Elephas maximus indicus: one gene and its partner. The protein of the gene in region 1 interacts with the protein of each later gene in a pairwise test. Links are inferred from orthologs where the notes say so. Each region holds a gene or a part of one and is shown on either strand. Other genes may lie near its edges.

Region 1 (8,023 bases):
GTGTCAACCATAACCCAGATTAGAAACCTGAAGTTATTTTTGATTTTTTAGTCTCTCCTGCCTGCCCCCCACCAGTTCCTCTCCTCCATCACCAGTTCTGCTCCCCCCATTCAGTCAGGAAGACTTGTCAATCCCTGCCTGCAATATAGTTCTCTCATTTCCATCCGCTCTGATGCTTATGACTACCGCAGTAGTTTCACAACGGAAATCCACTCTCTGTTTCACACTATTATTTACCTGTAACTCTTCCGTTATGCTTCTTTTGGACTCTAGAAAACACAAATGCTTTCTCTTAATCTGTTGTGTCAAATATAAGGTCTCCACTGGTCCATCGACTTCTCAAGGTCCAACCTTATCAAACCTGACCTGTGTTAGGTCCCACTGCTATCTCCTCACATAAATATAAATGTGCTTAAACACTGTCTTGGAATTGTTCTCTAGATTTTATGCTCTGGTTATTTTCCATACCTGTGCCTTTCTCTCAAATAGATGTATATTTTTTGAAGGAAGAAACCAGGTACTACTCTTGGCCCTTCCCAATCATACCCAGTTGTGAATCAATAATTGTGTGCACTTTGCAAAGGAAATTCGTGGAAAATCTAATGTATTGTTTAAAGAATGAATGCAGCAAATTACTGAAGGAACTCATGTGGAATGATAGAGAAATGCTGTTACAGGCTTTTGTGGAAGCGGGTATTATAGAGAACAGCTTGTCTCTGTAAGTCAATGGCCTGAAAAAGAGGTAAAAGATCCAAACTAACGGAATCTGGGGATTCAAATTAACACATATTTTATTCTGTAAGTTCATTAGATTTATGATTGGTATTTGGGGAGAAGGATAAACGTCACTTGAGGCAGACATTTTAAAAAACTTAATCAAAAGTAGTCTTTTCACTTGAAATTCAATGTGTACAGTGGCAAATATCACTGCTTAAAAAAAAAAAAAAAAAAACGAATAAAATTCATGTTTCAGCTCTTGCTCTCCCCTGAAGCAGGAGTGAGGGTCATCAAGATGAGAAGACATATAGTTCCTTGCCTCTAACACTAGTGGATTTCCCCAAACCACACACACAAAAAAAGCAACAGAAAAACCTGGATTTCTCCATTCTCAAATACTTTCAATTAGCAGATCTCTATTGTTGCTTGACTGGGGACCAAAAAAGAATCCGGAGCTTTTCCGTTTAGAGGTTAGGAAGACACTGGGTTTGGATAGGAAAGAAAAGATGGTTTTTCCTCCTGACGCCTGAAGGGATTTGAATTCTAAGAATTTGATGACAGGGGTACTACTATCTTAACTAAAAAGGACAGTTTCTTTTCATACCATCTTTTTTATAGGAGTTCCAGATGCCTAATTCCCTTTATAAATAAGAAGCAAACAAACAAACAAAAAAAGCAACAGGAAAGAAAAGCCTTTAAGAGGAGAAACCTAAGCCACAGTAAAGACTATAACTTGAACCTACAGCATGCCAAGTCTCTTCCAGGGGTTTGGTTAACATTCATAATGATGATTATGATGCCAAAAGTCATTATTTGCATGCAGAGGGTTTCCTTCCTCAAAGTACCTTGATCTCAGCATTTTTGGTTTCACAGAATCGAAACCTAGTGAGTCCTCACTACAAGGCCACCACCCTTTTCGGATTAACCCTGTGCCATTGAGTCCATTCTGATTCATAGTGACCCTGCAGGACAGAGAACTGCCCCCTAGGGTTTCTTGGTGTGGTTTAAATAGTTGGGTGGCTTTTCAGGCAGGAGGCCCAGCTGATGGGCTGTGAAAAACCCAGCCTCTCCAGTTCATTCATGCAGAGCCCACTGGCATCCTTCTGCTCTGAATAGCTCTAAGACCTCTCAGTGAGGTGAGTTGGGAAGGTATCACAGAGGAGGAAGGCGGTCCCTAGACAGGTCATGATTCTGTAGCTGTAAACAGTGCACATAGTGTACCCCTCAGAATATCTGGCACATAATAAGGGCTCAATGCAATTTCCCTAAACACCTTTAAAATCATTAACATTACCTAAATGAACAGTATTATTACTGCCATGGATTAAACACTGCACTTGTAACTAATGTCTCTAAAATTGGGTCACAGAAAATCTATAGCCTTGAAACGAAGAGCAACTCGTTTTTAGATTTCATGCCAACTTGCCTCCCCATTCCTAAAACGTCAGCTCTAGACGTGTACTTTTACTCACAGGTGAATGAAACAAATCACTCCTATCCTTCACCAATTCTTACTTATTTAGGGAGTCATACTGAAAAGTAGAATTCAGATATTGATGTGATAAGTGTAACTTTACAATAATATGGTTAATAATGTTTCAACCAACAAAAATGGCCAAAAAAAAAAAAAACTCTTAAAATTAAACACGAAACTTCAGTAGTATGCTTTAGGATATCTACGAAGCGTTGGGAAGAAAACACCAGGCTGTCAATGACTAACTTCTGATAAGCAGGTGTGTATTTAAGCCGCCCTGCTCCGAGGAGTCCACGTAGCGGACACGGAAGCGCAATTACTGTTCATATCTTGGCATTTAAGACAGTTAGTTAAACACCCGAGTGAGAAGCAAGTGCCTGGGCGCGCCCCGCCGCCTTGCCCCAACCGGGGACCTCCAGCGCACCCCGGTGCACTCCGATCTCAGGTGCCAAGTCACACATGCAAAGGGAACTTCCTCTTTTCGGGCACGATGGGGCCTGTGCGGTCCCGGGGCCCCGGCCTGCGGGCTCCTGCGCGGCGCCACCCCCAGGCCAGGTCCCCCCGGTCCCCGCCGCCCTCCGAGACCGGGTCGGGCGCCCCCAGACCCGCGCCGAGCGGGCGCCGCGCCCCGGCCGCCCCGGCGCTCCCGCCCGCCGCGCACCTGAGGATGTTGTCCGCGTAGGTGAGCAGCAGCTTGGAGGCCTCCAGAAAGGTCTCCGGGCTGTTCTGGCAGAGCTCAGCCACGGCCGGGGACGGGGAGCCCGAGGAGCTGCCCAGGGCCGCAGCCGCCATGCTGGAGCAGCCGCGGCGACACCGCCCCTCGCGCGCCGCGTCCGGCAACTGAGCAGGCGCCTCGGGGCGCGGCAGCCACTGCAGCCGGCGGGGGGCGTCGCTGGGGGTGGGGTGGGGTCGGCGGTCGGGGGCGGGGGCGGGGGCCGGTCAGGGGGCGGGGCCTCGGTCAGGGGCGGGGCCTCGGCCAGGGGCGGGGCCTCGGTCAGGCGGGGAGGAGGACGCTGGCCGTGAGGGACAGGGATGCCCAGGTGCTGGCCTGTCCTTCGAAGAAACACCGGTTTCTGGGAGCCTTAAGGACCGTCTGAATTCATCCAGACACGCGGGTGAGAAAACCCCGTTTATCTCCACCCAGCCTCGCCCAATGAAACAGTCTTCCAGCCTCTTGCTAGCAGATTGTCAGCCCCTACTTGATAGACATGGATGAAAGCCCCCGGAGGGAAGGAACCACAGACGTTCACAGTCAAACTCATGTTTCTGTTTTCCAATACAATGGTTCCTTTTAGAATTAGGCGAGTGATTGAAAATTTCTTACATATATCCCTGCTCAGACAGTATGATAATGCTGTATGAGAGAGCTTTTCAAACGGCTATGACCCATTAGTAGGTTGTAGACTCCACTTACTGTGTGGTGAGCGGCATAAAAAGCACACACAACAGCAAAATAGCATAGGATGGAGATGGGGAAGGAAGAGAATAAAATTATGCATCCCACCCACTAAGGGTAAATATTGTTTTGTGACTTTTGTTTCGCAAATAAATCATGTGCCATTTAGCCCTGGTAGAATTCGCACCCTTAACCTCTTTAATCCAGCATCTGCCCCATCGCGCCATGGAGAGTGTGTTTATCAGTATTAAAAATGGCTTCCTTAATTGCAGAAATTTCTTTCTAAACCTCAGCAAATATTTTTCCTGACCTTATGTGTGTTCTTTTTTTCTTGAAAACTTTGTTTAATGGAAAACTTTTCAGACACAAAGAACCCTTATCTGCAAAAACATTCCTATGTTGATTTCTATCTGGGGCATGGAATGGAACGCATAAATATCAGTATCTGTAGTAGCTATGCTACTAGTAAGCTACCCGTAATGTCCTTTATAGTTATGCTTTCAAAGGCACTGTGAACTCAGTATATAAAACATAGTGGAGTATCCATGAGAAATCTAAATGCTATTACCATTTATTTTGAAGTTTCATACCATCATACATAAGCACTAGCTTGTAGATCCTAAAGTTCCCTTTAACTCAGTGGCTCTTAATGACCTTATGTTTTTAAGATAAGTTATTTGCCCAAGTCGTGATGCTTTATGGAATTTGCTTTTAAGATTTGAACTTTTCTTCCAGTTTGAGTCAGACCTTGAGCTATGCTCTTCAATTATCATTCATCCGCCAGATAACACAAGTTTTTACTAAATAAGTTTTTGAACCAGTTTCCAAGAATACTGTATTTAACAGGTTAGCTGCTGAAACTAAAAATTTCAGTGGCTTAACACGAGAGAAATTTCTTGCTCTTGTAACACTGAGGGCAGGTATCAGTGGTCAGCTTTCCTACATGTATTGATTCAGGGACCCAGGCTCCTTTGATCCCTTGGAGTAGAGGTAAATGTTTTCTGTAAAGGACTAGATAGTAAATGTTTTAGGCTTTGTGGGCCCTGTGGTCTCTGTGGCAACAATTTAACCCTTTCGTGCCCAGCAGTACATATTGTGACCATGAATTTTTTAGCCTCTGGGGTTTATTGGGAAGCCTCTGTACCACTGACTGTGTGTGCTGCTCCAAGGCAGGGGCCATTATGTCTGTTTGAAACCAGAGAGATGGGTGTGCAATGCTAATTACAGTTTTTACATGGTTATTGTATGAGGGCTCTGAATTTTTGGTAGGAAAAATAGAAATTTTGTAAGTTTTTATTTGTTGTACATAGGTACCCATAGATCCCAGTGGGGACTCTGGGGTATAATTAGTGGCACTTCATATGTCCCACTAAGCACTTAGGGTAGGCTCATGGGAGAGGGCAACAACAAAAAAATCCATACTACCTACCAAAAATACAGACACACTCGAGGGTTCAGCATGCTTCCATTAATGAAAACACAGGCTATCAACAAAAAAATCAAAGCAGAAAAGGTTGGGTCACCAAAGCATTCATTCTGCCTCTGCAGTTGCAGTCTAACAGACAGGACTTAACATGAGTGGGCCCGGCTGTGTCCCAATGAACCTTTATTTACGAAAATAGGCAGCCTGTTAGATTTGGCCTGCAAGAGTAGTTTGCTAACTTCTGCAAAAGGAAGGCGCACATCTACTTCTTAAACACGTGGACTCAGAAATGACATACGGTATTTTTTTCCCCCATATGATTGGCAAGAATGAGGGTCCGTCTAGGTAAAAGTGGAGACTGGGAAATGTAGTCCCTAGCTGGACATGGCACTTCTCAAGACCCTACATGATTGAAGGTGGGGGGAAGAGGGTTGGGGTTATAGCTGTCTCTAGCACAAATGGTATCCCCCTTAATTTGGGTTTCTTTTTTCCATTAGCACATTAATTCATCCTGATAATCATTGTATGAGATTATTATGGTTTGAGGAACCCTCGAGGCGTAGTAGTTAAACCGCTAGGCTGTTAACTGAAAGGTCAGCGATTTGAACCCACTGGCCACTCTGCTGGAGAGACGTGACAGTCTGCTTCCGCAAAGATTTACAGCCTTGGAAACCCTATGGGGCCATTCTATTCTGTCCTATAGGTTTGCTATGAGTTGGAATCAACTCCACAGCAGTGGGTTTGGTTTTAGATGTAGTGATTTATGTTTTTGTTGCTTGTTTTAATAACAGGAGGCCTGGCAAACAAAATCTAAGGAAACCCGCTATACACAAAACAGCAAAGTGGAAGTACTCTGGAATTGAAGCAAGGGAGGGATGGGCCCAGAATGCTGTCAGCCTAGCCTCCCCCTTGACGGAAAAAATGGCCATGGGAAACTTCTTGGGGACAGGAAACCACAGTGTGAAAACCTATGCAATTGCATTATGATTATGACAAAGATGCACAGTCCATAAAATCATAAAAATAACCATTTCCAAATCTATTTTGTAAATTGTTTAATTTACTCAAAATTACTTGAAATTTAATTCCTTCCAACCTTAATTCTTTACCAACCCTTCTCTTAAAGTTTTTAAGTACATTACAAGCTCTTACATACCCCCATTTATGAAGCTATTAAAGGAATTCACCATAGTAAGGGAATTTGTCTCATTCTTTTCCCTGTCCACTTTTCCTACTTGAGTCAAGTTGAAGGTATTTTGATTCTTCAGTTTCCTTTTGAAAAGTTGAAGATACTAAGCTACTCTTAATGTCTTTATACCCACCATTGTTTCAAACAACTAAAGGATGTTCTAGTATTAAATAAGCATTGAACTTCCTGTTCGTTTACTTTTTTTTTTTTTTGGCTCCAAAATAATGAATTTTCTTCAGGATTCCAGATCTAAAAAGAATAACATCTTTAAAGTTGACACATGGTGGCACTATTCTTAAATGGAATAGGAAAAAAAAATAATAACCCAATTATTTTTGGCTGAAGGGTGAGCCTCAGTAATAATACTGAGCTAATAAGGGTGTCTGGGGGCCATACTCTCTGAGTTTCTCCAGTCTCTGTCAGACGAGTAAGTCTGATTTTTGGGGGGAGGGGGGGAGAGGGGAGGGCTGGAATTTCGTTGTACACTTTTCTCCAGCTCTGTCCGGGACCCTCTTTTGTGGTCTCTGTCGGAACACTTGGTAGTGGTAGCAGGGCATCATCTGGTTGCGCTGGACTCAGTCTGGTAGAGGTTGTGGAACTTGTGGTCCATTAGTCCTTTGGACTAATCTTTCAGTTCAGGGCCTCTTTATCTACTGTCCTGTCGAGTACAACATTGTCCTAACTCTCCTCCCTGTCTGAATTCCCACATCTCTCCAATCCACCCTCCATACTGCTTCAACAGTGATCTTTCTAAAGCACACATCTGACCATGTTATTCTCCTGGTAAAGAATTCTCAGTGGCTACCCTTTGCCCACACTCTGAAGTCAAGTGGTGTCTGGAGCCAGGCAGGTAACTTACATTTGTGAAGTGGCCTTGTTCAAGACAAAAAGGAGTAGCAGAGACTATGGTGAAGGGTATGGGAGAATTCGCCATGTTCTTCCTCGAGGAATTTAGATTCAATAAAAGAACGTTGCACTTCGGATTAGACCAAGGCTGCCAGCATATGATCTCCGGCCTACAGGATCAAATCCAAAGTCTTCGGTGTCATACCTACAACTTTTTGTGATCCAGCCCCTGCTTTACTCTCATGCCTTTTTATGGATTTGTCCCACAACAAAAATCCAATGTTGGCCAGATTGGACAGTTTGTGTAAGATACCATGATAATTCATGCCTCCAGGCCTTGGTGCTACTCTCTCTGCCAGGATGTCCTTCCCCATTCTATTCTTCTGATTCTGAATCATAGCGACCCTATAGGACAGAAGAGAACTGCCCCATAGGGTTTCCAAGGAACTGCTGGTGGATTCAAACTGCTGACCCTCTGGTTAGCAGCCCAGCTCTTAACCACCGCACCACCAAAGCTCCTTCTTCAAACTAGCTTCTAATTATTTTCAAGATGCAGCTCAAGGATGATTTCTTTGTAACTGGAGCCTTTGCTGACTTCACAAGGTAGCAACGACCTCATTGCTCCCTTTGCGTCTTATCCGGACTTCTGTTATAGCACCTGTTTCAGTAGTTTGCACATACTTGTTTGCCATGGCTGTCTCCGTCTACTAGACCATGAACTTCTTGAAAGCAAGAACCTATTTATTTAAAGATTTTGTGGTACCCTGTTCATTTTTGTACCCTAGCCTCTACATATAATAGGAGGAAAATAAGTGTTTGTTAAAGAAAAGAAAGTGCGAGCCTCTAAATTAGTAGTTCTCAAACTTTACCAGCACAGGAGAGAAGTTAGGGTTAATCAAGAGATAGTTAAGATCAGTTTGCTGGGTGGAAAGTTTACATAATAGAGCGTGGGAGCTATCTATGGAAAGATAGTTTTAA
Region 2 (7,500 bases), on another chromosome or scaffold:
AACTAATCCATAGTCCTTATTCAAATTTCACCAACTGCCCTACTAATACCCTTTTTTCTGGCCCAGGATCCAATCCAGGATCACACACTGCCATTTGTCACTTCTCCTTAATCTTGTTTAATCTGGGAAAGTTCTCCAATCTTTCTATGAGCTCTGCGGGGTGCAAACTGTGAAGCACTTGGCTACTAACTGAAAAGTTAATGGCTCAAATCCACCCAGAGGCACCTTGGAAGAAAGGCCTGGCAATCTGTTTCCAAAAGATCGTGTTGTTGTCGTATGCTGGTGAGTTGATTCAGACTTAAAGCAACCCTATATGATAGAGCAGAACTGCCCCATAGGATTTCCTTGGCTGTTATCTTTACGGGGGCAGATTGCCAGGTCTTTTTGCCTGCTCAGGGGCTGGTAGGTTCAAACTGCCAAACTCTGGGGTGAGCAGCCAAATGCTTAACCACTGTGCTACAAAAAAAAACAAATCAAGTCAATTCCAACTCAGAGACAGACCCTATAAAACAGAGTAGAACTGCCCCATAGAGTTTCCAAGGAGTGCCTGATGGATTCAAACTGCCGACCTTTTGGTCAGCAGCCGTGGCACTTAACCATTACGCCACCACAGCCATCAAAAACCCTATGTAGCATAGTTCTACCCTGAAACACATGGGGTCGCCATGAATCAAAATCAACAGCACCTGGTTTGGTTCTTCTTTATTTTCTCTGACTTTTTTTTAACCATGTAAGCTAGTTATTTTGTAGAATGTCCTTCAGTATGGCTCTGCCTGATGTTTCCTCATGATTAAATTTAGGTTATACATTTTTGGCAAGAATACCATAGAAGTGATATTGTGTCCATCTTGGTGCATCATATCAGAAGGTACATGACATCAACTGACTTAATATTACTGGTGATGTAAACTTCAATCACTTAGCTGAGATGGTGTCTGCCAGGTTCCTCCAGGGTAGTCAGTCATTCCTTCTTTTTAAACAAGACATCAATGCAGAAAGCAGCAGGGCAACTTTACATTCAATATTTAATTCCTTATAGGGTCGCTATGAGTCAGAATTGACTTGATGGCACTAGGTTTTGCATGATTAAAAATAGTTTTGAATAGTGCCTCTGTAATCAGGCTCTGGAAACCCTGGTGGCATAGTGGTTAAGTGCTGTGGCTGCTAACCAAAAGGTCAGCAGTTCTAATCTACCAGGCGCTCTTTGGAAACTCTATGGGGCAGTTCTACTCTGTCCTACAGGGTTGCTGTGAGTCGGAATCGACTCGAGGGCAATGGGTTTGGTTTGTTTTTCAGTGAATTGGGCCCTCGAATGGTGTCAGTATTACCAAACCAACTGTCAGTGTTCAAAACCTGCCAGACATTTAGCGCCCTGGCACTAAGGATACTTTATAAATTAAAGAAAAATAATGTTTGACCTAACGGAGAACCCTAGTGGTCAAGAAAAACAATTAGCAAATAAATAAAACTTAAGGTGAGTATTTTGATGGGAAAGCACACACAAAGGGGGATTGAGTGGAGAAAAATCTCCTTTAGATAGGGTGGTCGGGGAAGACCTCTTTGCGGAGATGACATTTAAACTAAGACCTAAAAGGGAGAAGAGCCAGCCTTGAGAAGAGGATGGGAGTGAGGGGAAAACCCATTCAGGAAGTAGGAAGGGCAAAAAGACAAGGAAAGAGAAAGTAAAGGCAGATGAGGAACACAACAAACAAGGAGAACCCGGCAAGACAGGCCTGACAGTGTAGGCCAGAAATGCTACTGGATTCTATTCCAAACCCGTAAACTAAGGAAGGTTGTTTAAACCAGGAAGTGACATGATTCAGGACATCGACTCTGATATGAAACGCTAGCTAGGAGACAAGGGATAGAAACCAACTATCTATGGAAACAAATCACTTCTCTGAAGGGAAGTGCCTAGATTCTCAGGGCTGAGGGACCGATTCTAGCTGTGCTCAGTTCCAGCCCACTAAATGGTCACCTCTAAACCAAGACCTGAGTCTCGGATGCAGGAAAGGCCCAGTTTTGTAGCTTCAGGGAGGTTGGCGTGGCTGCCGGGCTTGGAATCAGCCCCTCTGGGCGTCAAATTCTGGTTCTGCCACTCAGTAAATGCGTGATTTGCCCTCCCTGGGCCTTAGACTCCTCCCACTAACAGTTGCTAATACTTCAAAGCGTCGTTGTGAGGCGTCCCCGGGAGAAAGCATGGAACTGCTTTGGCCCCTTAAGTCTTCCACCATGGAAGGAGCCCCTGTTAGGCGTCGACCAGGTGTCTCCAGGTTTCGGGTACTGGTTTTATGCCCGGGGAACGGAGCTGCCAGCGGGGTGCAGACCTGCCCCTCCCTCTGCGACGTCGGGGGTGCTCTTTCCCAGAAAGGGGTGAGGGCGGGACGTGGAGAGAGCACAGCACTCCAGTAATAGTGGTTAACCTTCACCCAGCGTTTAGTTAAGTACCAAACGCTTCACACGTATGATCCTTTCTTCCCGACCACGAATCTCTAAGGTGAATGGCAGAGATCCAGAGAGGCAGTTACACGCCGGCCAGAGCCGGGACTCGAACTCGGGTCAGTCGGCCCACAGGCCGCGCTAGACCACCCGCCACTCACCCCCAACGCTGGCAGCCCGACGGTCGGCACACCTGGTCCCTCAACTCCCCAGGCCGGGGCCCGACGCAGCTCCGCCCGGGCCGCGGTGTCTAAGGCCAGGAAGGGGGCGGCGCCGCCGGGGCGGTGGAGGCTCCGCTTCCCTGAGGAGAAGCGCGGCCTCCCTGACTGGCCTTAAGGCCGCGACTCCGGGGCCTAGGGCCCCACCCCCACACATCCTCGCCCCGGAAGGCGGCCTCCTCCCCATCGGGAGACGACTTCCGACGCGGGGCCGCCGCTACACCTCACCTGAGACGCGAGGAGGGACGCCGAGCCGACCGCTAGCCACAGCTCGGACCTTCTCAGCTAGCCCCAGCGCTCAACCGCGGCCCCAGAGCCGCCTCACCACTTCCGACGGCCGCCGAGCAGCGCGCCCATTGGCCCAGCCGCAGCTTCGGCTGTCGGCCCATTGGATAACACAGTTGTCGCTCCCAGGGCCCCGCCTTCCGCGCGCCGATTGGCTCCTCGGCCCCCATGGGGGCGTGCCCCTGAAAGTCCCAACCCCTAAACATCTGGAATGAGGGGCGGAGACCTGAGCTTTGAGCCCAATGTTCAGCCCAACAACTGCCCCCACACAGGCTAATAGTATCTGCATGAATAATACTGTGCAAACATTACTAATATGACTATTAAGATAATTTAATGGCATTTGTTTTGTCATGGGCCATTAATACTTATTAGTCATTCTTGTTCCTGGTATAACACCCTTATGTAAGTCTTCGGCAAGGTTCTGACCATATTTGAGCACTTTGCTTTCTGCAGTAGAATAGCCATTTCCTTAGACGCAGGTTCGAGTCCCAGTTTCTCCACTTGCTCCCTGAATGGACTCTGAGCTCCTCTTCCCTCATGAATGAAAACAGGAGAATAATTATTTAAGTGTACTTCAGCGTGTACTACAAAAAAAAAAAACAAACTACAAACAGTGCACCAATTTAAAATCATGATTTTATTGCAGATTATAATCGTAAAATGTCCATGAGCTGATACTAAGCAGGAGAAGCAGGTTACAAAGCAATATTTGTAACAGGATAGAATATTTTTCTTTAAACATGAAGTATTATATTTGTGGTGTTGGCAAACAATATTGAATATAGCATGGACTGCCAAAGAACGAACATATCTGTCTTGGAAGAAATACAGCCAGAATGGTCCTTAGAAGCAAGGATGGCGAGACTTCATCTCGCTTACTTTGGACGCATTATCAGAAGAGACCAGTCCCTGGAGAAGGACATCATGCTTGGTAAAGTAGAGCGTCAGTGTAAAAGAGAGAGACTCTCAATGAGATGGATTGACACAGTGGCTGCAACAGTGGGCTCACACATAGCAACGATTGTGAGGATGGCACAGGACTGGGCAATGTTTCCTTCTTTTATACATAAGGTCACCATGAGTTGGAGTTGATTCAACAGCACCTAATGACGACAACATGAAGTATATGCTGTGTGATGCCAAACATACCGAGTTCAAAAACAGACAAAAGATGAGAGAAATCAGAATAGTGGTTACATTTGGAGGGTATACACTGCAGAAGGATACGAGTGGGATTTCTGAGTCTTGCAAATGTTCTGTATCTCAACCTGCAAAGTGGTTAACATGGATGTATTTATTAGTAAACCCATCTGTCAATTTGCAGTACTGTGGTAGTTTGTGTGTTACTGTGATGCTGGAAGCTACGTCAACAGTATCTCAAATACCAGCAGGGTAAGCCATGATGGACGGATTTCTGTGGAACTGCTACACTAAGCCAGACTAGGAAGAAGGGCCTGGTGATCTACTTCTGGAAATTAGCCAATGAAAACCCTGTGAGTCATAACAAAATACTGCCCAATGTAGTGCTGGACAATGAGCCCCCTAGATTGGGAGGCACTCAGAATGCACAGTGACTACAACAACGAACGCCACTGGGAAGATGACACATGACCAGCCAATGCTTCGTTCTGTTGTACATGTGGATGTCACGAATTGGAACAGACTCAACAGCAAGTAACAACACTTATTCAGTAAAAGAATCATTACACTGTACACTTAAGATTTAAGCACTTTACATTGTATGTTATATTTCAATAAAAGTTTACCAAAGAAGCACAGTTATTAAACATTAAGGAAAACCAGAAAATATGTGTATTAATATTCATTCTATTAATGCATTAAATATACGAAATATATATATAAACACGCACTAAGATAAAACAAAAATATACTGAGTAAATTTATTCTATTTCAAATAAAAAAGTTTACCAAAACACAGTCATTAAAAAGATTCACGGAGAGACCAGAAGAACTAGATGGTGCCCGGCTACATCCAATGACTGCTCTGACAGGGAGCACAACAGAGAACCCCTGAGGGAGCAGGAAAGCAGTGGGATGCAGACCTCAAAGTCTCATAAAAAGACCACACTTAATGGTCTGACTGAGACTAGAAGGACCCCGGAAGTCATGGTCCCCAGACCTTCTTTTAGCCCAACACAGGAACCATTCCCAAAGCCAACTCCTCAGACAGGGATTAGACTAGATCCCTGGAAAAAAAATGATACTGGTGAGGAGTGAGCTTCTTGCATCAAGTAGACACATGAGACTATGCAGGCAGCTCCTGTCTGGAGGGGAGAGGAGAAGGCAGAGGGAGACAGAAGCTGGCTGAATGGACACAGAAATAGAGGGTGGAGAGAAGAAGCGTGCTGTCTCATTAAGGGGAGAGCAACTAGGAGTATATATAACAAAGTGCATATAATTTTTTGTATGACAGACTGACTTGATTTGTAAACTTTCACTTAGAGCGTAATAAAAATTTTAAAAAAAGATTCACCAAAGAAAAAAACAGAAAAATAAACATTTGATAAAAAGAAATAAAGAATGGACAGAAAAGACTGGAATGCGAGATGAAGCATGTTTTTTCCTCATATGCTCTTCTGTGTTTTCTATATTTATGCACTGAATTTCTGCATTGTACTTCTCTTGTAAGGAGCCCTGGTGACACAGTGGTTAAGTGCTCAGCTGCTAACTGAAAGGTGGGCAGTTCAAACCCACCAGCTATTCTTCGGGAGGAAGATGCAGCGCTCTGCTTCCATAAAGATTACAGCCTTGGAAACCCTATGGGGCGGTTCTACTCTGTCCTATAGGGTTGCTGTGAGTCAGAATCAACTCACAGGCCATGGATTCTTCATTTGGGTCTCTCTTGTATTTAGAAAAGAAAGAATAAATGTCATTAAAAATAGGAGAAAAACATGTTGCTTTCTCTATTTTTCTGTATGTTTCCATTATTTCATCATTTTTTTTAGGTAGTGATTATCCCTTTCCTAGCTAGCGCTCCGGGAGGGATGCACGTGAAAAGCTCTATACGATGATGACATGCCTATGTTGAATTTCTACATTACATTGTTCTTGTATTTAGAAAAGGAAAAAGAAATAAATTACAAATTGAGAGAGTTCTGTTTTCTCTATTTTTCTGTATGTTTGAGTCATTACATAATTTTTAAAAACAAAAAGACAGCAATCCTCTCTTCCCTAATTACCTCCCAGGCCTAGAATGTTGTTCACCAAAAAGAAGACTGGGAGAAGCTCTCTCCAAAGGTAGTTATTATCGTGCCAATGGTTTTTTGAGCCACACCTAACACAGGTATGTATTTCAGTTAGAAAGACAATTTCCTGTTCGCCAACTGTACCTGAAAAAGGAGGCGATTCAGTGGTAGAATTCTCTTCCTGACCAACGATCCTCATGCACAGGCACCAGCTGTGATGCTGAACGGGTTTCAGCAGAACTTCCAACGTAAGATGGACTAAGAAGAAAGGCCTGGCCATCTACTTCCGAAAAACCAGCCAATGAAATACAACGGTCCAATCCCCAGCTGACCGTGGGGATGGCGCAGGCCCGGGCAGCATTTTGTTCAGTTGTACATAGAGGAGTCAGTTGACTCGATGGCAGCTAACAAGTGTCTGAAGTAAATCCCCAAATAAAATGAAACAGAAACCCTCCAATCATCAGGTTGTATTTTGAAGCAGTATAAAGAATAAAAAAAATAATTATTACTTTCATGAATCAGCAAAGATGATCTTTTTTTTCTTTATTGTGCTTTAGGCGAAAGTTTACAGCTCAAGTTAATTTCTCATACAAAAATTTACACACATATGATACTACTTTTTTTTAACTATGACAAAACTCTGCAGCAATCTCCTGAAGGACACAGGATCATTTCAGCAAAAAGCTGTTTGCTAAATCAGTCATAGCTGGTTTTTATGTCTTGTAACTAAAAATCTCATCTAATGAAAAAAAACAACAACAAGAAACCCTGGTTAAGCACTCAGCTGCCAACCAAAAGGTCTTCGTTTTGAACCTACCAGTCACTCCGAGAGAAAGATGTGGCAATCTCTTTCCACAAGATTAAAACCAAAAAAAACCCATTGCTGTCAAGTCAATTCCAACTCATAGTGACCCTTTAGGACAGAGTAGAACTGCCCCATAGGGTTTCCAAGGCTGTAATCTTTACAGAAGCAAACTGCCCCATCTTTCTCCTGTGGTGTGGGTGGGGGGTTTGAACCACCAGCCACCAACTTTTCAGTTAGCAGCTGAGTGCTTTAACCACTGTGACACCAGGGCTCCTTCTGTAAAGATTAAACCTCGCTGCCACTGAGTCCATTTCAACTCATAGCAACCCTGCAGGGCAGAGCAGAATTGCTCCAGAGGGTTTCCAAAGCTGTAAATCTTTACCGACATGGATTGCCACATCTTTCTTCCGCAGAGCAGATAGTGTGTTCCAACTGCTGACCTTTTGGTTAGCAGCTAAGTGCTTAACCACTGTGTGATCTTAGAAACCCTATGGGGACAGTTCTACTCTGTCCTATAAGGTTGCTATGTATTGCAATTGACTTG

The links. The genes of interacting proteins can lie anywhere in the genome.
Region 2: the proteins of NGLY1 (region 1) and TRAFD1 interact in binary tests that used the Homo sapiens proteins (3 or more experiments, as listed by UniProt). The two-hybrid records come from large-scale screens. The link is inferred for Elephas maximus indicus from reciprocal best matches to the Homo sapiens genes NGLY1 and TRAFD1.

Annotation. Positions count from the first base shown.
Region 1 is NC_064845.1:13,766,841-13,774,863, reverse strand, and holds the start of NGLY1 (peptide-N(4)-(N-acetyl-beta-glucosaminyl)asparagine amidase), read right to left. Parts: upstream 3,078-8,023; 5' UTR 2,984-3,077; coding exon 2,853-2,983; intron 1-2,852. UniProt on the Homo sapiens protein: Specifically deglycosylates the denatured form of N-linked glycoproteins in the cytoplasm and assists their proteasome-mediated degradation. Cleaves the beta-aspartyl-glucosamine (GlcNAc) of the glycan and the amide side chain of Asn, converting Asn to Asp.
Region 2 is NC_064840.1:10,427,153-10,434,652, reverse strand, and holds the start of TRAFD1 (TRAF-type zinc finger domain-containing protein 1), read right to left. Parts: upstream 3,001-7,500; 5' UTR 2,886-3,000; intron 2,855-2,885; exon of another isoform or gene 2,601-2,854; intron 1-2,600. UniProt on the Homo sapiens protein: Negative feedback regulator that controls excessive innate immune responses. Regulates both Toll-like receptor 4 (TLR4) and DDX58/RIG1-like helicases (RLH) pathways.